6 linked regions of the Coturnix japonica genome follow. The protein of the gene in region 5 purifies or fractionates together with the protein of the main gene of each other region. This does not show direct contact. Links are inferred from orthologs where the notes say so. Each region holds a gene or a part of one and is shown on either strand. Other genes may lie near its edges.

Region 1 (4,171 bases), on a different chromosome or scaffold from region 5:
TCAGCCCAACCAACCCCACTCACTTTTTGAACATCCTGGGACGGTGGGAGCCGGGACAGCGAGATCCTGTGCCGGGCGTGGACCGGCGGGCGCGGGGCGGGCTGCCGGGACTCCGCGCTCCCTCACACGAGGTCCCGGCCCTCCCCCTCCAGCGCCAGCCGGAAACGCCGCGCGCTTTACGGCATGTCGCGCCGCTGTATGACAACGGAACTGCTGAGGCTGGGAGGAGTGGTCATTGAGAGCAGATCGGCTGAGAACGACCTGGGGGTCCTGATAGATGAGAAACTTAACGTGAGCCAGCAGTGCGCACTGGCAGCACGGAAAGCAAATGGGATCCTGGGCTCCATCAGGAGAGGGGTGGTCAGCAGGGATAGGGAGGTGATCGTCGCTCTCTACTCGGCTCTTGTGAGGCCCCATCTGGAGTACTGTGTCCAGGTGTGTAGCCCTCAGTACAAGAAATACATGGAGATTTTGGAAAGGGTCCAGAGGAGGGCCACGAAGATGATCAGGGGGCTGGAGCACCTCCCCTATGAGGACAGGCTGAGGGAGTTGGGTTTGTTCAGCCTGGAGAAGAGAAGGTTGCGAGGTGACCTCATTGCAGCCTTTCAGTACCTGAAGGGAACTTACTCCCAGGAGGGGAGTAAACTCTTCGAAAGGGCTGATAATAGCAGGACTAGGGGAAATGGTTTTAAGTTAAAAGAGGGAAGATTTAGGTTGGATGTTAGGGGGAAATTCTTCACTAGGAGAGTGGTTCGGCCCTGGAACAGGCTGCCCAGGGAGGTTGTGGATGCCCCGTCCTTGGAGGTGTTCAAGACCAGGTTGGACGGGGCCCTGGGCAACCTGATCTAGTAAAGGTGTATGTTTGGTGGCCCTGCCAGGCAGGGGGGTTGGAACTACATGATCCTTGAGGTCCCTTCCAACCCGGGACATTCTGTGATTCTGTGAATGGAACGCGCTGTGTCTCTGTGCATGTGCATGGATGGCAAAGCAGGATGCGGCTGTCTCGCAGTACAGCCGAGGAAGGGCCGTGCTCATCCATAGGGCGGTGTGATGCTGTGATGGAACGTGCTGACACCGCGCTCTGCTCCCAAAGGCTTCAGAGTCACCGGCATGAAAGATCAGGCCACCATCCGAGCACCTTTTCTATATCAAATCAACCGCGATACATAGCATCCACACAACGTTCAGCCAAGCTTCCACGCGTGGCACAGTCTATTTAAGCGCTGTGATACAGCCGGTTCAGGACTCAAACACCGAACAAACCCCTCACGAACCACGCACGGCACTGCGCCCGCACCGCGCATGCGCACAACGCCGGCCTCAGCCACAACGGCGCCGCCATAGGCCACGCCCCCTATAGGCCACGCCCCTCATAGGCCCCGCCCTGCGCCGGCGCGCGAGGGTTCCGGCGGGCGGCCGTTATAGCGGCCGGCAACCATGATCACTTCCGGTAGGTCAGAGGGCAGGCAGCCGGCGGCCGTGTTGAGGCGTTGGCTGCGGGGCAGCGCGAGGGAGCGGCGGGACGAGCGGGCGGGAGGGAGGAAGGGCGGAACCCGGCGGGCAGGGCCGCGCCGCTGGGACCGCGGGGCCGAAGCGGGGCCCGTCGGGCGGCCGCGCCCCGGCATGCACAGCGAGCGGATGCGCCGCCATCTTTAGGCTCCCTTCCCCGCCTGGAGTGACAATAACAAGCACCGGGCCCGGCCGCCCCGGCAGCGCCCCGGCAGCGGAGAGGGGCGGGCGGGAGCCCTGCGGAGGAGCGGGCGGCGGGGGCCGCGCTGAGGGCGCTGAGGCCGGGGCGCTGTTGGCCCCGCTCGGCCGAGCAGAGGTGGCGGGGCGGCGGGGAACCGCTGGGGCCGGAGAACGGCGCTGAGAAGAGCCCGAGGGTGGACGGAGGTGGGGGAGGAAGCGCTGCTTTGAGGGCGGGAGACGGAGGAGAGCCGCGAAGAGAAACGGAGTCACAAAGAGAAGGAGATCCGGTGTTTCCTCCGAGGGATAAGAAGGAGAAGGAGGGGGAATACCGAGGGACTGTGTCGATAAGGAGAGAGGAGTTAAAAGACTCCGCTGAGAGACGCCACCGGAGGCTGACGGAAGAGCTCTGTCCTCTTTGTCGCGCTGCCAGGATTTGATGCCCGTCAGCCTGCTCATTTCTGTGTGTTCATGTTTCCCACAGGTTTCTCTTCCCCCAACCCCTCCACTGCAGCTCAGGAGGTCAGGCCCGCCACTGATGGTAGTAGCGGCAGCAGCTCCTCCTGCAAGAAGAGAAAGTTAAATAATAGCAACTCTGAAAGAGAGGAATTCGATTCCATTTCCTCCTGCTCGTCATCTCCTTCCAAAAACAACTCCTCCTCGTCTTCTTTAGTCATCACCGCCTCTTCGTGCTCCTCCTCGGGGGTCGCCTCCTCCAACCATCACCTCCAGAAGAAGCTGCGCTTTGAGGACTCCTTGGATTTTATCGGACTCGATGTGAAGATGGCTGAAGAGTCTTCTTCCTCCTCCTCTCCCGCTGCCTCTTCTCAACAGCAGCACCAACAGCAGCTCAAAAATAAAAGCCTTTTAATTTCTTCAGTGGCCGTAGGGCACCATGCCAACGGCCTGACCAAAGCTGCCTCCTCTACTGTGTCCAGTTTCGCCAACAGTAAACCTGGCTCCGCTAAGAAATTAGTGATCAAGAACTTTAAAGGTAACAGACCATAATTCCTCACAATCTCTGCGGAGCTGCCGCTCAACTCTGTGTTTTGTTTTCAACATGAAAACCTGGTTGGCTTTCAAATAGCTCCAGGTTTTACAGGAAATGCTTTTTTGTGGTAAACATTCTTAGACTTATGTAAAGGGGGGTTATGTTGATGATGCGTCCTTGCCCGATCACGTGCACATCTGAGCCAGACTTCCCTGCTTGGGCTTATTGTTCTGACTGCATTCACTCTGTTGAGGAGAAGGCCCTTTCTAGTATCTTGAAGGAAACATTTTACTGCCTAAGTGTGTAAATCACCTTTGATCAAACTTCTGAGGTTTGAAAGCACTTTTCCAGTAACCCAGACTCAGGGTATACAGTATATTTTAGCCTTGTTTATGGTAAGTCTTTGCAAAGTATCCTTAAAAAAAAAAAAGACTTGAATCTCCATGTCTTGCCCACGTGTATTTTGTCTGTTTGTAGGTTAATCCGCTTGTGCTTAGTTTTAAATGTTGAAACTAAGGTGATTATCCAGCTCTTAAGGCGGATTTCCTTTCTGCTTCTCCTACTTGACTTCAGAGTAGGTAGTTCAGACTTTTGCAGGTTATTTTTCTTGCAGTATCATCACTGCTGTGCTTATTGCTTAATTTTTTAGCATCTTTTCTACTTTAATATGCTCTTCCTTTTTTTTTTTTCTTTTCAAATTTACATTGTTTTGTAGTTTCTCAACCAACATGGTGGAGCTTTTCCAATGTTGTTACTTGAGATCAACTGAAGCAGGGAAATGAAGCTTTCTGATGTGAATTCAGCATGATATTCTAATGAACAAAATTGAACTAGGTGAAGGCAGCGATCCTAGCTAAAATTCTGTAGTTTTTATCCTAAAAAACGTCTGAGAATTGTGAGATTTTCTTGTTAGTCCATTCTTCCCTTTCAAAGTAATTCAAGAACTTACTTTCCTGAGTGGTTTTGTTTTTCTTCTTATGTTTGGGTGGGAGAAGAGAGGGCTTAAAGGTCTGACAGAGATTAAAACGTATTTCTAAAGAGGCGGTTGATACAAATGTGCTGTAGAGATAGCACAGAAGGTGAGGATTAAGGATTACCTGAGCCACTGTAATGTTCCAGTGTGACTTTTTGCTTTAAGGACTACTTAATTCTCAAGAATGTTCCCAGTCTGTTTCCCGTGCTGCCATGTCACCATCTGTTAATTTGGTTGCCTTAAAACCTTGTACTTAGGGTGCATGATGGCAAGAAATAAATGCTGCCACTGCATGTACTTTGTTATTTTTAAGAGAAGGCAACTTTTCACATTGAAAATATTAACTACATGCCAGGGATGACATGGAGCTGCAATCATCATTGCTTATAAATTGCTCTTGGAATCACTTCCTTAAAAAGAATGTCTTGAGAATCTGCATCTCTGGTTTTTATTTATGCTCATATGCCAAGATGACTAATAATCGTAGTGTGCTTTTGTCTGCGATAGCAATACACGTCCTT
Region 2 (4,054 bases), on a different chromosome or scaffold from region 5:
TGGATGTGTTTGTGGAAACAATGGGAAAACACCAAGAGACACCAGAAAACAGCATTTATAGCCCTGGTAGTGAAGGGATGGGAAATGTGCGGTGTCTGGGTACATCTGGGGGTTATAGAGGGGCACAAAGCTGCAGGGAAGGGAAAAGGTTGGGTGGGTGCAGGCTGGAAAAGGTAGGATTGTTTTCTCTCTGCAACAGGAGGGACTGAGGAAAGTGTTTATTTCTTTGTACCAGCACAGGAAATGTCTTTGTTTACACATTTATCTGTGGCACTGGAAAAGGCCAAGTCTTCCTCTCCAGCTGCAGGGATGGAGTTCTTTTTTTCTCAGGAAAGGGAAGATTTATTTGTCTGCCTTTCTCTGCGGCAGGGAATGAAGGGAGGTCTGCCTGTGGCAGGGGATGAAGGGAGCTCTGCTTGCAACCCCACTGGCTGCTTCAGAAGGGAAAATACACGCGATCCGTACACATTTCCAAGCGGGTTGAGCGTAGGCAGGAGAGTTCATTTCGACGCCGTCCCGGGCTGAGCAAATGTTCAGCTATCTATTTTTGGCTCTCGTGACGTTCAAGCTGACAAACCAGGAATTCAAAGCATTGTACTCGGCGAGGCACACGGCAGAGCAGGGCCCATAACTGCCCCCACCGCGCTCCCTCCCTCTGCATGGAGGCACGGGCCGCTCCGGCCCGACTCTCGAAGCTCTCCCAAGGCACCGCCATGTTGAAGTTTCCATCCCCTCGCACCGACCCTCCCACAGCCAGCGGTGCCACCGTCGTCCTCCCGCGGTGGCGGTGACCCCCTGAGGGCAGGCCCCAACATGGCTGTGACCTGGGGGTGACCAACGGCTCATCCCTTCCCCCTTCACCCCCGCTGGAGGCCGTTGGGCGGTTGCCGGGCGGCAGCGGGGAGCGGAGCGAGGCGAAGTGCGGGCGGGCGCGGGGAGCGCACGGGGACGCGGGGAGGAGCGGAGCGAGGGGAGGCGGCCGGCGGGGCGGGCACTGCCCTTCGGTGCGCTGTTTGTTCTCGTTCCGCCGCCCGAGGAGGAGGGCCCTGTCCGGCCGCCTTCTGCTGCCCCCCTCCCTCCTCCGAGCGAGGGGACCGGGGCGACCGGGGCGGGGGCGGGGGAGGTGATGAGCTTGGGCCGGGGGCTGCGGCGGCGGCGCGGCTGCTGCTGCTGCGGCTGCGGCGGGAGGAGACGGCGGGCCGAAGGAGGCTGTGTCCGGCCGGCCCGGGGCCGGGGGGATGCGGCGGAGGACGCGTCGGGCGCTGGGTGTAGCTGATCGGCGAGGAGAGGCAGCCGCCGCCCAGAGAGGCCGAGGAGAAGCGGAGGAGAGCCGCCCTGACATGCATTTTCCTCTCCCTCCTCTCCAGCGGCCATGTTAACCAAGAAACCCTCAGCGAGCGCCGCCGCCGGCGCTGCCTACCCGGCCGGTAAGGAGCGGGCCGGGCGCCGCGGGGTCGGAACAATGCTGCGGACCAGGGGGGAGAACCGGGGGGAAGGGGGGGGTTCCGGCCGTCGGTGCGAGCGCGGGGCCGCGGCGGCCATCGGCTTCCGATGGCTTCTGCCCGAAGCGGGACGGGGCGGCTCGGGGCCGCCGCTGCCCTCCGCGCTCACCCCTCTGCTCTCCGCAGGCAGGGCAGGGGACAGCGGCCGTCCGCTGCAGTCTTCCCCGGGTGCAGGAGCCGGGGTCTCCCGGGCAGGAGCTGGGACCGGCCCACCGTCGCCCCTCGCATTGCCGCCGCTCAGGGCCAGCAACGCCTCCCACACGGTGAGCACGGGCATGGGAGGGGGTCGGGAGGGTGGTGGTGGTGGTGATGGTGGTGGTGGTGGTGATGGTGGTGGGGGGGTCCACGGAGCGCCGCCGCCTGTCCCGCCCCGCGGGGCGCTCGGGGCCGGTTCTGCAAACTCGGAGCGGAGGAGAGTGTGGGTTCCAGGGCTGGCAGGCTGGAACCGAGCTGCAGAGCGGCTCCCCCTTCCTGCAGCCCCCCTTCGCTCCGCTTTACGTGTCGTTGTCGGTAACAAATTAGATCTTGTGCACAGACAGCGAGGAGCTGTTCTGGTAAACGGGTAAACGCCTTTTTGGGGATGACATTTTGGCAGTGAGGTTAGTCGCTGTGATTAAAGGGTCGCGTGAGCCATGGCGAGGAATGAAGGCTGCTCTCCTATGTCTCTGATTAGCTCAGGCCGATAGCCGTCTTCCCTTGGAAACAGCTGTCGTTGTACTCCAGGGCGACGATTGGATGGATCTGACTTTATTGCTGCGGTGGTTTACCTAAAGAAATAAGCACCGATGCTATGAAAAGGATGTTATTTTCCGGTTCTGTGATATCTCACATTATCTCCCTCTCCCAGTTAATCTACCAGGAATGGAACTTCCCAAGTATGCCACTATATATGGATGAGAGAGGGTATCTCTGTCCTGAAGGCATGACGGGGTAGAGGGAGATGGGGCTGTGTGCCGTCGTGTTAACGCAAAATATCTGACATATTTCTTGCATACATTTCCTTTTAAATGATGAAAAAACTCGTACTGACCCTGAAAGGCATTGATGGCATACTTGGCTTAGAATTAATGAGTTCTCCACGGATGCTCACGTACTATCTTCATAAACATATGGCAGAGCTTTAAACAGTAATGTGATTATGGGCTAGTGGAAGGTGAAACTATGCATTTAGACATTAGCGTTTCGGTGACTTTCTGTATAGCTTCAGGGGTAAAAGCGTCTTATTCAAATCCAGTTATAGAAAGAATTGGCTTAAATGTAATAAATAAATAAATAAGTGCAAGTTTATGTAGGGTGTTTTCAAGAGGAATGATGAATATTCTGCAAATGTGAGGTGGAGCTGCATACTTGAGGTCAACATCGCTGTGTCTCTATGTAGCCAGGATGTATATCTGAATCGTTGGGTACTGCCAAAGGTAGGTTTTTGCACGTTTGCATTCCAGTTAAGTGCTGGTTGATTTGAGAAGTGAGAAAGTGGTCTACGTATTTCTTTTAAGCCAGAAAATAATCATTGTACCGATGGCCTGGGCATGGGTTGTGAAAATACACATCCAGAGATGGGCCCCACTAATAGCAGGGGCTGATGTGTAACAGAGCCCAGACTTAATTTAGAATCTGTGAAAGCCCAGTGGTCCAGTCGTCTGTCTGGGATTGCTGACTAATTTTGGTAGCATGGAACTGTGGTATTTTTATAGATACGCTTGTGTGTGTACGATATATCTATCTACATACACTATATATATATGTGTATAAAGATGAAGTCTTTATGAAAGCTTGCAAGGAGTATTTGAGTATTGCATTTCTGCTTCCAGTATATTTGTAGATGTATCGTCATGCATGTACACATGTTATCTATAGCATATATATGCCGATAGATAGATACGTACATATAGACAGAAAGCCTATGGAAGCATTGAAGGATGATCAAGCATTATACTGCTGTGTTTCAAGTCTCTCTGGGTTCTGACTGCTGCAGACTCTGCTGTGCCTTTGTGACACAGATACTACTCCTCGGTCTTTATTTTACCTTGAGTGCTATTACAGAAATACCTCCGACAGGCTCTGAATTTTTTAGGGCATTATTTTGTGGTTGCCTAACAGAACTTTTTGTGGTAAGGATCAGATGTGACATCAGGATGCTGGATTTTAACCTAAAACAATGGTTATGTGTGGTATGGGAGCGTTCTATAAACTTCAGGCCTGCTGACCTCAGCTGACACTGACTGAAACTATTGGTTTCATCCACTACTTCCTCAAATGAAATGTATTTAAAAATAAACGTTTCAGTTTTCTTAAACCATTTTCTTCCTCTGTATTCATTTGCTTAATCAACCCTGTTGTGCCTGTGTGACTTCTCCAGCAGCTAAAAAATGAAATGAATATTTCTCTTTGGTGTTGCAGACTTTCAGAAGGCGTAGCTTACATAGGCAGCGTATACACATGTGCATTGTGTATACACTGATTGTGAAGGGACACCATGGTGGAAATATTAAGCCAAAAAGTTCTTCTTCTAGTCCAGCTGGAGAAATGCACTACTTGTCATATTTCTTGCA
Region 3 (4,150 bases), on a different chromosome or scaffold from region 5:
TGATGGAACCTTGAGGGGTAGGGGAAAACAGCAATGCATTCAACTGGAAGCTTAGAGTGTGAAATGTCATGATTAAAAGGTGGGAAGCACTGCCCAGAAAGGAAGTGAAGAAGACAGAAAAGAGTACATGCAGGAGAATTAGTTGGCAAGACAGATCTCAGAGATGAGCTCAGAAGCATCACACTTAGTAGATGGAGGGGTAGCAAGAGTCCCAAGTCTCTTCCTCTCACCCTCCCACCTGTGAAGGGAGATCCAACTAGTTTGATTTAGACCAAATCTTCGCACTGCCCCGGAGCCTGCGGAGAGAGGAAGAAGTTTTAGACTGGACACTAAACTTCATCTCTGACTTCCTTTTCTAAGCGTACACAGAGAACAGCTGGCATTCAGGGAAGGCTTATGAACTGTGCTTCAGATCAAGAGCTGCACCCCCTGAATTAGCCAGAGGTGGAGGTCAGCTTGGACCATTCCAGGCCTGGGGTGTAGACCCCTGCAGTGACCTCAGTGCTACAAAACAGAACTCCCCTCAACACACATTAGGCAGTGGCTACGTTTGTTTGCCACCATTCCTCACCCTTTGGCTTTGGAAGTCTTCTTGCTGGTCTGGCGCTGGTTGGTGCCAGGGGCAGGTTCCCTGAGCTCTGTGAGGTGCTGTTCTGGGTCTTGAGAGGTGGCTGCTGCAGCAGCTGCTGTTGTCACTTTAATTGTCTTCTTCAGATTCGCCACCTGCAACAGCAGTAAAACAAGAACCAAGGAATTTCTCAAGTTATTATCTTTTTTTCCTCCTCCCTTTTATTTTGTCCAGAGCTTTGCACTGCTGAGAAGTGCTTAAGTGACTCCCAATTCTTCCTCAAGCATAACTACCCCGGAGGGTTTCAGCCTAGGGTAATGCCTTAGCCCTATATAGTATATATACTATACTATAGCCCTCGAACAAGGGCTATAGTAACAACAGGGTATTGGTTCCACTCTTTCTTTAAGCAAGGGGTAATGCCTCCTCCTCTCCCTCTTCAGCCCACTCACCTCACTCTCTATCTGCTGCTTAAGTGCCAGCTGTTGTTCTTTGTGTTGGTTGGCTCGGCTAACCTGTTCTTCAATGCCAGACAAGACAACCTCGCAGCCCTGGCACCTGTAGAGAAAATGTTAAGCTGAACAGGACAGGTAATTGGTACTGCAGGGAAAGAAACATGAAGATGACTGGTTGAACTGTAAAGACCAATAAAACCTGGAAGGTAACAGCTACTCTAGGCAGGGTAGGCACAGGGGTGGCAGTCCAAAGCAATAATGTAGTGACATTATTACCTAGGAGGGAGACACATAACAAAGCGGCACTAGGTTAAGAGCTACAGATGTATACTCAGAAAGACTCTTGCCAGCAGCTGGAGCTGGATGCAAAAACTGCTGCTCCTTTCCTCACCCCTCCAATGTGGAAGAACGTTGGATAGTGGAAACTATTTTCCACTGCCATTTGGGAAAGGAGACAGAGGTCACTTTGCTACGCTGCCCCCCAGCAACACACAAAGGATGATCTGGTGAAGCCCCTGACCACTCCTGCAACCTTTGAAGGTGTTAGTATGGGCGGCTTCCTCCTCACCACTCCTGCAATGTGCGGGTGATGGTGCTTAGCTCCTCCCTCCGGATGTCCCTCCCAATGCTGTAATCCACCTCCAGGCGTTGGTTCCGCTGATCCAAGCTCCCTCGCAGCACATCTGCATACACCGCCTCGATCACGAGGTCCTCTAGCTGCCGGACGTTCTTCAGCTGTAACTGCTCCAGCAGCACCGAATAGGGGATGCACTGCAGAGACATGATGGTAACTAACACAAGGTAAACTCAGAAGAAGGAAAACTAGAGGTAAAATAGGGGCATTACCTTGATCTTTGCAGCCAGAGTGACGACCGACAGGTGCCTCAGTTTGTTCTTCTGAGCCTCTGTCAGGGGAGGGAGGTTTGCTGCTTCAGCTGTTGCCAAAGGGAAGGACGGGGCATTAGAATTTATACCTCATGTTCTATTTCCCAGTCCCGCAACGGAAGCATTTGCCCCAGTCCCATTTCTCAGAACTGCATCACAACGGCTCCCAAAGTGATGCTTTGTCTTAGCAGGCCGTCACCATTAATCCACAGCTCAAAGGACCTTCACTGAGCAGCCTCTCCTCCGTTTGAAGCCACCTCCCCAAGCTGTCCCACACCTTATTTATGGAGACCTCTACATCCCAATGAATCCCCCAGTCCTCCCCCCACCCCTCGCAAACACCATTGCCCAGATGTTTTTGGACCCCTCCATGGCCTCCTCGGCCTCACGCCCAAACCCAACCTCGCTCCCAGCTCTGCGGCTTAGGGCACGATTCCCCAAGCCCGACCTCACCCAGGTAGTCGGCGTAGGTGCCGTAGGCGAAGATGGTGAGCAGGTGGAAGACAGGAGAGAACTCGGAGTCGGCCAGCTGCGGGACAGAAGGCGAGTCAGGCCACACCGCGGCCCAGGCCCAGCCGCGGGCAGGGCAGGGCAGGGCACACGGCACAGGGCAGGGCACAGGGCAGGGCTCACCTCGCGTACGGCCGGCATATCCAGCAGCTCCCCGAAGACGTAGATACCCGGGGCCTCCAGCACCTGATGGATGAGGCTGGCGAGCGCGGCGCCGCGGGCGGCCTTGGCCAGCAGCAGGAACTGCTCCTGGCTCTGCCCCGTCACCTTCCCCTCGGCCGCCATCCCGCTGCCGGGCACTCGGCCCCGCCGCGCTGGCGTCCCGCAGGCCCCGGCCCCGCCACCGGGCGCCACCTCCAGCCCGCCCCGAGCCCTCTCCTCTATGGCGGCGCCGTCGCAGCCCGCCCGCTTCCGGGTGTGACGCCGGGCGGGCAGAGTTTGGGGCGCCCCCTGTCGGAGGAGGACTGCGCGGTGCAGCGGGCAGCTCACGGTCCTGGCCCGGGGTTGCCGTCCCGTCCCGGCCCCGCTGGGCTCCTCGGAGCTCGGGGCCGGGCTGGAGCTCGGTCTGTACGCTGAGGCTGCCGGCGTGAGGGGAGCGGCGCTGGGAGGGCCGAGGTGGAAGGCTGAGTTATAATGGTGGCGGCCCCGCCGCTCGGCTGGAGGTCACTCGCCGCTCACAGTATCGCTGTGGCTGGGGCTGTGGGGAAGGGCTGTGATAGATAGCGAGGCCTGCGGTGCTCCTTACGGCGGAATGAAGGAGGAGAAGGGCTGACAAGGTGAAGCAGGGCAGCATCAGTGCAAGGTACAACCACCACCTTCCTGCCTTCACCTCCCTGTCCGTGTGCTTCACCACGCCCTGACACCTGACGCACCCACCTACAGCGGGGCAGGTTGTGTTCTGACCAGGTCTAAGTGTAGCCCTGCTGCTCTGTAGCATGTCTTGCTCTCTCCCCCACCCCCTCACCAGCTCCTTCCATCTCAGTTTTATCTCCCTATCGATCTGTTTCTCTCACACTCTCTGACACGCTTGCTGCCTTTCATTATTAGTTCGATAAAGCGAAGCAGCCCGAGCATCCCAGCTGCAGCAGCCTCCCTCTGCACCGACCCCGGGTCTTGTGTGCTCTTTGCTGGGTCACCACAGTGTTTCTTCTCTTTTGTCCTGCACGGAGCTAAAATAAGGGCAAGGAATGAATCACTACCCGAGCTCCCTTAATGAGAAGGCCATCATCATCTCTGAATATGCAACCACTCGTGTGAGCGCACGGTGTCTTGCCCATAACTTAGCAAAGTCTTTGTTCATCCTTAGATGCAAAATCAAACTGGCTTGTCAAAACGCTGCCAATATTTTGATCTCTAGCCCTTCCCCAAACATAGTCCAGATCTGTGATGATTTTTCACAACTCTATGCCACAGAGTCCTGGGCAAAAAGCTTGTAAGGACGAGGGAGGATGGGGCAAATCTCTTTGCCAGACAACGTGATGGGGAAAGTTTTTAACCACGTAACTTGTACTAGGTTAACACACAGGGTGGTAAGACCTGTGCCTAGTTACATCTAGGGCAGCCTCACACCTATTGCTCACAAAGGAGTTTAAGAGGACGGTGCCTGCGCAGTAACTCTTATTCCCATGTACTCTCACAGCCCTCGGGAATTTGCAGATCAGGACAGACAGCCTCCAGTCATGATTCTCCAGCAGAGAAAGGACCTTTCACATCACATGGTGGCTCGTGTCTG
Region 4 (4,016 bases), on a different chromosome or scaffold from region 5:
AAAAAGCTGTAATAATAATTATCTCTTCTATTATGACATGAGAAAGACAGCACTGTAGGCTCTTCACCTACACAAGCCATGTATAAGTTTCAAATAACCACTTTAATGGCTTGTTTTGAGCCGAGTCCTCTGTTTAGTAAGCTAGTTATTGCTGCTTGTACTGTTTCCTCTATCAGTTCTAATATCCTGAAGAGCTTATCTTCCAAAACACACAAGATGGAAACAAGCAGGCATTACATGATTACTTTGTTGTTTATGCTGGTTTTTAACTTCAGTCTTAGAACAGGTTACGTGAGGTGACCTCTGAAACAAACAGTGATCACACAACTGTTGGTCAGATATTTGGTTATGCTTTCTAAGACACAGCCTTTCCTACCCACCCACACAAAAGTCTGGTCCAGATTCAAAGCATTTACTTTCTTCCCCCTTTACTGCAACAATGTTCTATTCCGTGCCCTCAAGAAGGGCAGCTGCTGCCCTATTTCAAGCTATTTAGGATCTTGTTGCAAAGGGAATTCTCTTTTCCCATTATTTTTATCACTCGCTCCTCACTCGGCAGTTCTTTGCACTGCCCCACTTTCTGTAGCCCATCAAATATCAGCCACTTCCACCCAGATCCAGGCAATCTACCACCAATCCCAGACATCACTTCTATTTTAGTAGCAAAAATTGGCTGCCACCCTCCTATTGCTCACTGCCTCTGCCAAGCACCTTTGTGCTTTAACCCATGCGGCCACTGCCGCTTGGGAAAGACTATGCTTTGGGCTTCCCACCAGGCCTTGTTTTTAACTCTGCCACCGTGCCAAATTAAATACATCAATCAAGAAGTTCCAAGGCAGGCTGGGGTACCACTGCCTGCTGCACTGAGCCCCAGCAGCCTCTCTTCTCCTGTCATGGTGCCAGATAGAGATGCACATAAAGGAGCACTGCCATAGAGAAGCAGTACACACACTGATATTTTCCCCATGGATGGCTCTGTGCTCACCAACCGAGAGTTACAGCGACCTGTACATACAGGTCAGCTTTCCAAAAGATGCTGAACTTCCTCTTATTCCTTTGGCAGAAGGAATATGTATGTATGTATGTATGGGCATGTTCACAGCCACCACCCACCGTACAGGAATCTTGCTGATTTGCACCAATGACTTCCTGACTGCTGGGCTGTCCTTACAACACGCACATTTTTACAAACAGAATAAGCAAAAAGCACAGTTCTCTCTTTACAGCTTATCTGAGATCTCCCTCCTCCTCTACTGCCAAAGCTCAAGTCCGTGCCCCGGCAATTTCATACCCATATTACTATAATCTCTTTTCTGAGCCTCTGAAAACAAGTTAGGTAACATTCAAAGCATCTGTGTTTTTCTAGCTGGGCATGAAAATGCAGGATTTCTCAAACGCTCTATTTAAAACCATCAAATGTATTATGTAAATCAGATTCTGCAAACCTATAAGTATTACCAGACACATATATATCAGTCCAGCTTGAAGGCAGTATGTTATATTAGGTCAATATGCCTTCACACAACGAGCCGTTCTGATGCCACACATTACACTCCATCTAATGACACAGAGAAGTCACTTCAGCTCTGAGACTCACCCTGCTTGTTAACTTCAGCCGCGTGGCACAACTTACAGCATCAGTGATGTTTTATAACAACACGAGCAGTGCGATTCTTGCCTTCATTCTCCAAAGAGCACTGACACTGAAGTCTCAGCATCGTAACAAATACTTTTAACGCTGGCTACTCTCAAACACCAAAGCATGAACCAAAAAAGCCATTGTAAAACACAGACACTGCAAAGCCCAGACAGAGCAAGACCCTAATTTCAGGATCTGGAGCAGGCAGAGTGTTGGGGTGGCTGGATGCCCAAGTGCAGCTCTCAATACCTTCCAACACAAATTGCTTCTTCATGGGCCCAGACCTTGAGAACTCTCCTAGGAGCAGCGAGAAGCTGAGGCACAACACTGTGAACTGTCTGGAAACACAGAGCGTTCTGGAGATAATAACTGGCCTTTAACGAGTCAAAAATACATCTCTGCTTGATCTGAAGCCCTGCGAGTCTCCATTTTCCACATTACACCGAAAGAAAACATCACCGTACGGGTCTTACCTGGTAGAGCTCCTCGAGGTTGTACTTAATAGAAGTGCTGCTCTGAATGGCTGCCACCGCCTCGTGAAGTTTGTGCCAGGTGTCCTGCGTGTAGTTATCGGGCAGCTTGGGCCTTTCTGCGGGGGAACACGGAGGCGGCTGAAGGCGGCCCGAGGCTCGGGCTCCCCGCAGCCATCTTCCTCCGCTCAGCCCAGGGGCGCTCACGGGGCACGGCCACGGGGCAGGTCGCGACCCCACGCGAGACGGCAGCGCCCGAGCGCGTCCAGGCCCGTGGCCTCCTCCTCCTCCATCCTAATGCGGGGCCACCCCAACCCCGCGGCCCCACGCGAGACCCCGGGATGCGGTTAGGGAGCGGCGGCAGGTTCTCCGCGTCCCTGTAAGGCGGAGCGGCCCCCGCGGTAAACAAAGGTGCGGAGAGGCCGGGCCCGGCACCTGCCGCCGCTCGGCCCCGCACCCACCTCTGAAGTTCTTGATGACGAGTTTCTTGGAGGAGGCGGCGGCAGCACCGGCCGAACCGCCCCCGCCGCCTCCCCCACGCGTGGCGGCTGCGGCCAGCGAGGCGGGCTTGGTGAGCCCGTTGGTGTGCCCCACCAGGGCCGACAAGTGCGGCTTCTTCTGGGCTTCGTCCGCCATCTCCGCCCCGGGCGCCGTGTCCGGCCGGGGCAAGGCGCTGCGCTGGGCTGGACCGCCCGGTCCCCGCCTCCGCTCTCCTCCTCCTCCTCCTCCTCCTCCTCCTCCTCCGCCCGCCCTTCTTCCCTCCCTCCCTTCCTCCCCCACCTCGGGGCGGCAGCCCAGCCCTTCCCGCCAGCTTCACACCGAGCGTCCCCGCTCGCAAGATGGCTCCCGGGACGGACGGCTACGGCGGACTCTCGGTGCGAGCCTCTTACAGACAACCCGTGGGGAACTTTATTCAGCTTTTTGGAACAGATTGCCAAGGAGCTGCCGTCCCTTCTTCACAAGGCAGGCACTGCGGCCCCCGGAGCACAACGGTCCGCTCCCATAAGGTCTTGCTCGGCAGAGAAAGACCTGGGGGTCCTGATGGATGAAAAACTCAACATGAGCCAGCAGTGCGCTCTGGCAGCCCGGAAAGCAAATGGGATCCTGGGCTCCATCAAGAGAGGGGTGGTCAGCAGGGATAGGGAGGTGATCGTCCCTCTCTACTCGGCTCTTGTGAGGCCCCATCTGGAGTACTGTGTCCAGGTGTGGAGCCCTCAGTACAAAAAAGACATGGAGATTTTGGAAAGGGTCCAGAGGAGGGCCACAAAAATGATCAGGGGCTGGAGCACCTCCCCTATGAGGACAGGCTGAGGGAGTTGGGTTTGTTCAGCCTGGAGAAGAGAAGGTTGCGGGGTGACCTCATTACAGCCTTTCAATACCTGAAGGGAACTTACTCCCAGGAGGGGAGTAAACTCTTCGAAAGGGCTGACAATAGCGGGACACGGGGAAATGGTTTTAAGTTGAAAGAGGGAAGATTTAGGTTGGATGTTAGGGGGAAGTTCTTCACTAGGAGAGTGGTTAGGCCCTGGAACAGGCTGCCCAGGGAGGTTGTGGATGCCCCGTCCTTGGAGGTGTTCAAGACCAGGTTGGACGGGGCCCTGGGCAACCTGATCTAGTAAATGTGTATGTTTGGTGGCCCTGCCAGGCAGGGGGGTTGGAACTACATGATCCTTGAGGTCCCTTCCAACCCGGGTCATTCTGTGGTAAGCACAAGCTGACACCGGACCCCGGTACGACCAGCACGCTAGTCCCTCTGCTCCCTCCTCCCGCCGCTCCGCCCACTGACGTACCACACACACCGATGCACGTGCTTTTATACCTAACGCGCGCTCTGGCCCCGCCCACCGCTCTTTTCCATTGGCTGCCTCGAAATAGACCACGCCCCCAAACGGCTCCGGTGACTACGG
Region 5 (3,500 bases):
CACTGATCCAGTGCGGGAACTGTGTGCAACAAATGGAAAGTTCGGAGGTCCCACTGAAGAAACACAGGCTAAGGAGCAACAGATGATGGACAGTGTCTGCTTCCTTTTCAGTACAGTGCTGAAGAGATGATTAATTGCTTTCAAGAAGCCTCACTGACACTCTCTCATAAACATAAAAGAACCAGTGTCAGATCCCAACACTACCTTCAAAACCAAAAAACTTTTACTGAGGACATCATTCCCAATTGTCAGATGTTACTGCAGTAGTTTCAAGGTACATCTTGGTAAGGGAATGCAAGAGAGTAAAGGTATCACTAAGTGCATTAGGGAAAAAAAATAATCTCTCTCAAGTATTTCCATTAGTCCCAAATCAGAAATATAGCCCAGATTTAAATTCTCTGAGAGTCCCCATTTACTGGATTCCCAGACAAAAGCTGCTGCTTCTGAACATAGTTTATAACACATCAAATAATTTACAGCTGTGTTTCTCAAACAAAATATTCAGGTTTCAACACATTATCATGATGGCTGAAGGATACAATTTCTGTGTTGACTATGACCTCCAGCCCATTGGGATGGAAAACACCACTGATGGTCATGTTGAATTTATCAAACTTGTGGATGGCTTGTGCTGATCTGACATCCCAGAGGACACCATCATTTAGGACAAGGTCATCAGTGGGGTTAAATGTGGCACAGTTCTTCTTGTAGTTGTTGGCAAGATCTGGGTTAAACAGAGTCAATAGCTTGTTGCCAGTCTGAATATCATAGATCTTTTAGATTAAAAAGAAAGAGAAACATTAGTCACAATTTGTAACATACCTGTACCTTAATACATCCCATGTTTTAGATCACTTCTAGAATCACCCCAACCCCATTTTGCTTTATCATTTCAAGCAAAAGCATTCTTTAGATAACCATTCCTCTGTCAGTCTTAAAAATCTTTAAGAACTGCTAGATGTAAAGGGCTTTAATGAAGAAAAAAGGCTTTATGGCCATTTCAAATCAGTTTAATCTGTAACACTCTGCGGAGCCCAGCTCTCCTTCAAACTCGGCAAAGAAACAATTCTCTAATATGGGCAAACAAACTGTTTAACAGATAAACACAACACACAAACCGATCTGACTTCCAGGTTATTCAGTTAAAAAATGGGCAGGAATTAATAGTTTGCTTAAACACATAATATTTACATACAATATGGTCAAGTTTATACCCTTAAACAGATGAAGTTATTTGCTATTTTCAAAGCTCTTCCTGTAGCTCACACAGGGCCTTGCAGCACCCAGACCTGCTAATAAACATTCTGTGAAGAATTAAACTCTTCTCACAGCTTCACAACCATGACTTTTACTGGTACTTACGTGGGCAATGTCTCCTTTTGTGCCAATGACTCTGTCTTGAGAATGCTTGCTGAACTCCACATATTGGTCATCAGGGAAGGAATGCCTATAGGGAGAGTCAGTAAAGATGTCAAGGACTCAAACTACTAGTGAAAAGACTTTCCTTTGCCATTGACCATAGCACACTACAATACTAAAATGCTCCACTGGCATTTGCAGGGAAGTATTTATTGCAAACACAGTCTTTCCAGCAGATCTATTAAAAAACACAAGCAGCAAGTCAATAGAATCACAGAATGAATCACAGAATGGCTTAAGTTGGAAGGGACCTAAAAGATCATGTAGATCCAATCCACTACACTGGGCAGGCTTGCCAGTCTGTATATCAGGCCGCCCAGGATCCCATCCAACCTGGCCTCATCATATGCATACAGAGATGGGGCATCCACAATCTCTCTAGGCAACCTGTTCCAGCACCTCACCACCTTCCGAGTAAAACTTCTCACCTAAATCCCCCCTCTTTTAGCTTGAAGCCACTACCCTTTATCCTACCACTATCAGATCGTGTAAGAAGTCAGTTCCCCTCCTGCTTTTAAGCTCCCTTCAAGTACTGGAAGGCCACAATGAGGACTCCCTGGAAACATGTAATAACACTACCACCGCAACAGATCCTGCACCACAACCTATTTGCAGGAGTGACCAACAAACTGCAACAGGAACAGTCAGACACATATACATGGGATAGTATCATGAACCTTTTATCTAGAGAATGCTCTTCACACAACAAACTGTTGCTTGCAACTGAGGTAGATGATAAGGAACAAAGAGCTTCTCCTCCACTTTCAATGAGAGCAATTGTAAATATTAAACTCAATTTGACACGGCTTTCTCTGGGATACTGAGGTCCAAAAATTTCACTACACAAAACCAACACGTTATAAAATTCTGTGACTGGTTACAGAAAGGCTGTCAAGATGACAATCTTACCAACATAACAATAAAAACACAAATGTAATTCTCTGCCTTCAGGAACAAGGGTCATCTTGCTAATCTAATTTCATTAGATGACTCTCCAGGTAAGTAGAATACATCTGTACTCAAAAGAACAGGAAGATGCCAAAAATAAAGTCTGTTACTCTTCTCATGTTTTCAGAACAGACTCTGGGTGAGCTGTGCTGTCCTATTCTCTCATGGAGCTTGTTCTTAGGGATTCTGCCTGTACTGAATGTTTCCAACTGTAAACCCAACAGAGATCAGAATACACTTACTTCATATCAAAGACAGACTTCATTCCCCACAATGCAGACAGAGGTTGGCTCCATGTAGCAGATGTCAGCAATAAGGATCCATCCTGTATTTCCAGAGTGGAGTGGAGAGGAAGGAAGGAAAAGAACACCAGGGAAAACAGAGGTTATTGTTTTACTTGTGCACATTCATTTAGATTTAAATTAATCTTGTAAGAACTACAGCAAGTTTTGTGGTCTTCACAACTCTGAAGTCACTTTAAAATCTGTTACTTACAAAGACACAGCCCCTGCATCTTCTCAATATATTGAGAAGAAAATAAATTACAGAACTCAGAGAGGCAGTGGGTAACCACTACCAGTACCTTGATCACAGGCACTGCAGGCCAGCCAGCAGGTGCACTTGAGATTTATAGATGTGCCCCAGATACAGCAGGCTGTAGTCTACAAGAACTTCAGAACTCAGCACAGGTCTCCAGTTACTCACCCTCGATGGCTCAAGGTGTGTGATTGCAGAGTTATGGCAGTTGTAACTCGCCTCTTCCTGTCCACTGAATACATTGTACAGTTTCAACTGCCCTGTGCAAGTACCCAGCATTAAGAATCGTTCACGCGCAGAAAAAGCACAACAGGTAAAGCCACTCTCATCCTCATTTGCTTCCCGGAACACAGAAATTGGACGGAACCTAAAGAAGGTGGAAAAAGGGTTACCAGAAAGAGAGCAGAAAAGCAAAACGGAACTACTGCATGAAGTAATGGCACTAAAACCAGTCCTCACTAATGGTGTAGGCTGAAGTTACAGTTCTCTTCTAAGACCAACTAGATGTTAATTATAAGACTATTGGTCAAGTAAGAATGTGACAACAGTGTCTGCAACAATCCTGGGTGTGTTTTGTGGGTAACCAAGTACTTCTG
Region 6 (4,088 bases), on a different chromosome or scaffold from region 5:
TGAAGTTTTGATGCTGTAATGGTTAATTAACAGAAAGCCATGCTTACAAGACAGCAAGAACTCCTAATGAGTGTTCCTGCACATCCAGGGCTCCAAGCACTGTATCCAGATGGGAGAGGTTTTTTGCTAGCAGTTCTCCGCTCTTATTGATCAGCTCACAAAGCTGGGTCATTTGCCCTGAAATAAAAAGCATCCTTGTCAGAGTCCAGTTAAAAAACACACATGCATTCCCATGCTTCATTACACCGAATCCCAATAAAATAAAACAAATGAGGATAACATAGAATCACCCACACAACTGATTGCTCTGCAGTATGTTAGGCACCAGTTCTCAAAAAATAAGGTGGCAGAGAAGCTTCTGACAGCAAAGGAAACCCGCAGAACATGAGCAGCAGCATCAATCTGCCTCATTATAGAGGACTTCAGGATCTCATAGCGACACTAAGCTCAGTTGAGCCAAGTCTCCAAGACTCTGACAAGTTTACTGCGATGCCAAACTCTCTCCAATATGAATAGAAATTACCTACGCTTGCTCTTTCTAGTTGTTAAAAGGAAAAACGTATCTACCAATAACAGTGCCCTCCTCTTTTCAAAACAATCATAGAAACACCTCAATAGCAAGGCTTGCTCCTTAACATTCCTCAAGTGCCTTATTCACTTTCCTGGTCTGTTCATTATTAATTACAAAAACCCTGCAACTAAACACCTCCAATAACAGGATTTTTTTAAGTCTGTCCTTAACTTCATATAATTATTCCTACAGTATTGTTCTATTCATCGTGAACCATAAACACATTATGAAATGTGACTATTTGGAATTAGGAAGGTATGGTAAGCCCTTAGAAATAAAGCAGGGACTTCCCTCTTCATTATAGCAAACTGCTGTCAAAATCCTTTTTCTTCTTTTTCTCCTTCAAAACTACTAGAATTAAAACAGCATCTTTCTGAAGCAGAGAACTGTTTCAGTGTAAAACCTTGTCGATTAGAGGGATAAAAGCAGAGCTCCTTTCACCCTTATAGAAGTCTTCATGAACTAAAGAATGGTGCTCCCATTCTTAGAGATTAACACCATTCTCAAATTTCTTGGCCTTTCCCTTTGAAAACAAAACAAAGATGGAACCTGGGGAGCCTTACAAATGCAATGTTAATGTTGAAGTAAAACAGGGATCAAAAGGTCCATATGTGAGACCACAGACCAGGAACCCCAGACACCCATCCTCATAACATCTCTGTCCATCCAGATTTAAAAGTCCCAAGATAAGGATGGAAAGAAACAGGGCCTATAAAATCGTATTTGGCAATGGTATTCAAGCACTGCAAAAAGTCAGTTCTGCTGCTCTCCCCTGCACACAAATCCTCCTGTTCTATGGCCACCATCTAGCATCCACCCCCCATGAAAACAAACAGGAACCAAAGGAAAGAAAAAACAACAAACCCCAAACATGCTAAACATTAACAGCATGCAAGTAGGAGACCCACACAAGGCCTCGCTACATGGCCATTTATATCAACCCCTGTGCAGTTCAGCACTGACAGCCAGGGACAACAGTACACGTGCTTCCACCACTGCAGCCTGCACTCACTCCTCATAGACAGCACCTATCTGGCTAGGCCCCAATGGGAAAGCTTCCATGAAGGCAGCCAGTCTTCCCCTAGTACAGTGTTCACCTTCAGAATTACATAAGAACTCCCCAGTTAAACTAAATCATACATATCCTGTAGTCTGCTAATTACCTGCATCCTGCATAGGTACATAGATGTCTCCAGCATCTGCTATCCTCAGCAAATTAAACCAAAGCATGACAGTCTGCACCCCACCCAAAAGTAACTGCCAGAGATAAAGCCTGAGGGCTGCAGAGGAAAGCATGAATTTCTGATAGCTTACAAACATCCACAGAACTGTAGGGGTTGGAAGGGACCTGGGGATCCCTCAGTTCAGCTCCTCCTAAGGCAGGTTCCCTACAGCAGGTTGCATAGGAAGCCATTCATCCAGGTGGGGTCTGATATCTCTAGAGACTCCACCAGCTCTCTGAGCAGCCTGTCCCAGTGCTCTGCCACCACTGCAGTGAAGGAGTTCTTAGGGAGCTGCCCCACAGAAAGTTCGTCGAGTACAAAACGCTGTGATTACACGTGGGGTAATGAGAAGTTTGGCAACAAAACTGAGACGGCTTACATAGAAACATTCAAACGCTTTCTGAGTGTTGTGTAACGACAGCTCCGAGGCAGCCCCAGGCCTTTACCCTATTCAGCCGAGATATGTCAGAGATCCCAGCAGCACTGATAGACACTCAGAGCCCCACAGCGGGAAGGCAGAGCTCTCACTCCCAGCAGCCAGTACTTCTGCGATGCATTAATACCCCCAGCTCAGTCTCTACACCACCCCCGTGAAACCATCCCCATTTCCCAGCCCCAAAGCTCCATCCCAGCCGCTCCCCGTGGGCCTGCAGCCCTGCAGGAACACCCCGACAGCGCATTTAGGCCTCACCGGAGCCACGAGCAGCGCTCCGGACACACCCGGACATACCGAGCTCCGCACCACAGGGCCCAACTCCCACCCCACATCAATCACGACACATCCAGGCCGCAGCCCGCTCCCCACAGCCGCACTGGGTCCCAAGAGCCGCCGCCCCCAGCCGAGCCCCGCCCGCGGTTGGCAGCCCGCGGTCACCTTGTGCCGAGAGCTGCCGGACGCTGTTAACGAACTGCTCCAGCGCCGACGCCATCTTGGCGGCTGGCGGCGCGGCCGCGCGCGCTCCGTGAGGGGCGGGAAGGGCGGGAAGGGGCGGCGGGAAAGAGGCTGCGCCACGGGAGCTGCCAACCCCAGCCAATCAGCGGGCTCTGCGGGAGGCGCGCGACGTGCGTCACTTCCGCTGTCTCGCGAGAGCAGACGCCTCTCCCCCCCTCCCGCTGCGGTTGTTGGGGTAACAGCGGCCCGGCCGGAAGTACCGCCCCGCGCGCACTGCGGATGGAGGCGGCCATCTTGGCGGCCATCTTAGCGCCGGAAGTCGTGACTCAGCAGTGCCCACGGGTGACGCGGTGATGGCGTCACTGCCCCTCCCGTGTCATTGCCGGGCCCTGTGCCGCCGTCATGTCCGGTGCGTGCTCGGTGCCGTCCCGGTGTGCCCGTGGTGGGGCTGGACGTGCTGCAGGGCCGCAAAGTGCCGGATCAGCGCGGCCTCTCAGCGTCTCGAGGCCGTTCTGTGAGGGGACGTTCGTTGAACAGCCGATGTGGGGCCTCACAGAGCGGCTGTGGTCGGAATGGCCCTTCAAGGTCCCTTCAGAGCACGGCCGGCCCTATCACTGCCATCATGGTGGCTCAGCTCAGTGTCTGTTATTTGATAGTATATACATAACGCTCCTTAATATCAGGGGACAGAATTCATCCCCCTGGTGCTGTGTAGCAGTGATGTTAATTCAGTTTGTATAAGCACAAATGTCTTTTTCATCCCTAGAGGAGCCCAAGTGTGCTGTGCTGAGCTGCTGGGGCTGCCAGGCGTCCTGTGGTGTGTGAGCAAGAGCAAGACTTTGTGCTTAGCCCTGGAAGACAAAGGCATCATCTCACGGCTTAGGAAAGTACCGAAATCCCATTCGTTGCGACGAGTTAAATGTATTTCTTACCTGCTTGAAACTTCACATTTTCAGTTTCACATTTCCTGTTACATACACCGCTGTGATGGGGAATTCTGTTCCTCTGCTCACTCGGTGCCCTTCACCACAACCCATCTGCCCTCTATGTGCAACAAGGACAACACACCCCGCTAGGAAACATTCCCTATTTGGAGGACAAAATATCTTGGATCTGCTGAGTTGAATCATTGCTTTTCATGTCCCAACTCAGCAGTTGTCTAATCCTGTTAGTCACACTCTTGACGCCTCCCTGCTCTTCGGTGCTTTAAATCCCCCAAGTGCTTTTTGGCCGTAGTGATCTGTGGTCCTGTGTCAGAATACGCAGCCCTTGGTGCTGTTTCTATGTCAGCCCTTCACTCTGACACCTCGAGTCCCTCCTTTGCACAGTCAGTGTCCGGGTATCTATTAAACCTTCACATCACACACAGCTGTCACATCCAGTGAGACTCTGGACAAAGTCT

What was found.
Region 1: the proteins of DCAF1 (region 5) and CUL4B purify together in Homo sapiens (affinity purification with mass spectrometry; 9 studies listed by BioGRID and IntAct, with this or other methods). This does not show direct contact. The link is inferred for Coturnix japonica from reciprocal best matches to the Homo sapiens genes DCAF1 and CUL4B.
Region 2: the proteins of DCAF1 (region 5) and DYRK2 purify together in Homo sapiens (affinity purification with western blotting; 5 studies listed by BioGRID and IntAct, with this or other methods). This does not show direct contact. The link is inferred for Coturnix japonica from reciprocal best matches to the Homo sapiens genes DCAF1 and DYRK2.
Region 3: the proteins of DCAF1 (region 5) and COPS7A purify together in Homo sapiens (affinity purification with mass spectrometry; 4 studies listed by BioGRID and IntAct, with this or other methods). This does not show direct contact. The link is inferred for Coturnix japonica from reciprocal best matches to the Homo sapiens genes DCAF1 and COPS7A.
Region 4: the proteins of DCAF1 (region 5) and CUL4A purify together in Homo sapiens (affinity purification with western blotting; 15 studies listed by BioGRID and IntAct, with this or other methods). This does not show direct contact. The link is inferred for Coturnix japonica from reciprocal best matches to the Homo sapiens genes DCAF1 and CUL4A.
Region 6: the proteins of DCAF1 (region 5) and COPS3 purify together in Homo sapiens (affinity purification with mass spectrometry; 5 studies listed by BioGRID, with this or other methods). This does not show direct contact. The link is inferred for Coturnix japonica from reciprocal best matches to the Homo sapiens genes DCAF1 and COPS3.

Annotation. Positions count from the first base shown.
Region 1 is NC_029519.1:15,291,950-15,296,120, forward strand, and holds the start of CUL4B (cullin-4B), read left to right. Parts: upstream 1-1,371; 5' UTR 1,372-1,437; coding exon 1,438-1,450; intron 1,451-2,170; coding exon 2,171-2,680; intron 2,681-4,171. Other genes in the region: MCTS1 (malignant T-cell-amplified sequence 1), read right to left, coding at 24-34.
Region 2 is NC_029516.1:31,679,920-31,683,973, forward strand, and holds the start of DYRK2 (dual specificity tyrosine-phosphorylation-regulated kinase 2), read left to right. Parts: upstream 1-1,254; 5' UTR 1,255-1,372; coding exon 1,373-1,427; intron 1,428-1,628; coding exon 1,629-1,765; intron 1,766-1,863; exon of another isoform or gene 1,864-2,269; intron 2,270-4,054. UniProt on the Homo sapiens protein: Serine/threonine-protein kinase involved in the regulation of the mitotic cell cycle, cell proliferation, apoptosis, organization of the cytoskeleton and neurite outgrowth. Functions in part via its role in ubiquitin-dependent proteasomal protein degradation.
Region 3 is NC_029516.1:69,466,828-69,470,977, reverse strand, and holds the start of COPS7A (COP9 signalosome complex subunit 7a), read right to left. Parts: upstream 2,801-4,150; 5' UTR 2,704-2,800; coding exon 2,542-2,703; intron 2,438-2,541; coding exon 2,362-2,437; intron 1,959-2,361; coding exon 1,870-1,958; intron 1,795-1,869; coding exon 1,592-1,794; intron 1,127-1,591; coding exon 1,021-1,126; intron 724-1,020; coding exon 572-723; intron 297-571; coding exon 257-296; 3' UTR 239-256; exon of another isoform or gene 1-238.
Region 4 is NC_029516.1:123,900,109-123,904,124, forward strand, and holds the start of CUL4A (cullin-4A), read right to left. Parts: upstream 2,801-4,016; 5' UTR 2,746-2,800; coding exon 2,571-2,745; intron 2,229-2,570; coding exon 2,113-2,228; intron 1-2,112. UniProt on the Homo sapiens protein: Core component of multiple cullin-RING-based E3 ubiquitin-protein ligase complexes which mediate the ubiquitination of target proteins. As a scaffold protein may contribute to catalysis through positioning of the substrate and the ubiquitin-conjugating enzyme.
Region 5 is NC_029527.1:1,236,650-1,240,149, forward strand, and holds part of DCAF1 (DDB1- and CUL4-associated factor 1), read right to left. Parts: intron 3,272-3,500; coding exon 3,073-3,271; intron 2,693-3,072; coding exon 2,610-2,692; intron 1,448-2,609; coding exon 1,363-1,447; intron 774-1,362; coding exon 540-773; intron 54-539; coding exon 1-53. UniProt on the Homo sapiens protein: Acts both as a substrate recognition component of E3 ubiquitin-protein ligase complexes and as an atypical serine/threonine-protein kinase, playing key roles in various processes such as cell cycle, telomerase regulation and histone modification.
Region 6 is NC_029529.1:4,779,269-4,783,356, forward strand, and holds the start of COPS3 (COP9 signalosome complex subunit 3), read right to left. Parts: upstream 2,801-4,088; 5' UTR 2,724-2,800; coding exon 2,669-2,723; intron 178-2,668; coding exon 48-177; intron 1-47. UniProt on the Homo sapiens protein: Component of the COP9 signalosome complex (CSN), a complex involved in various cellular and developmental processes.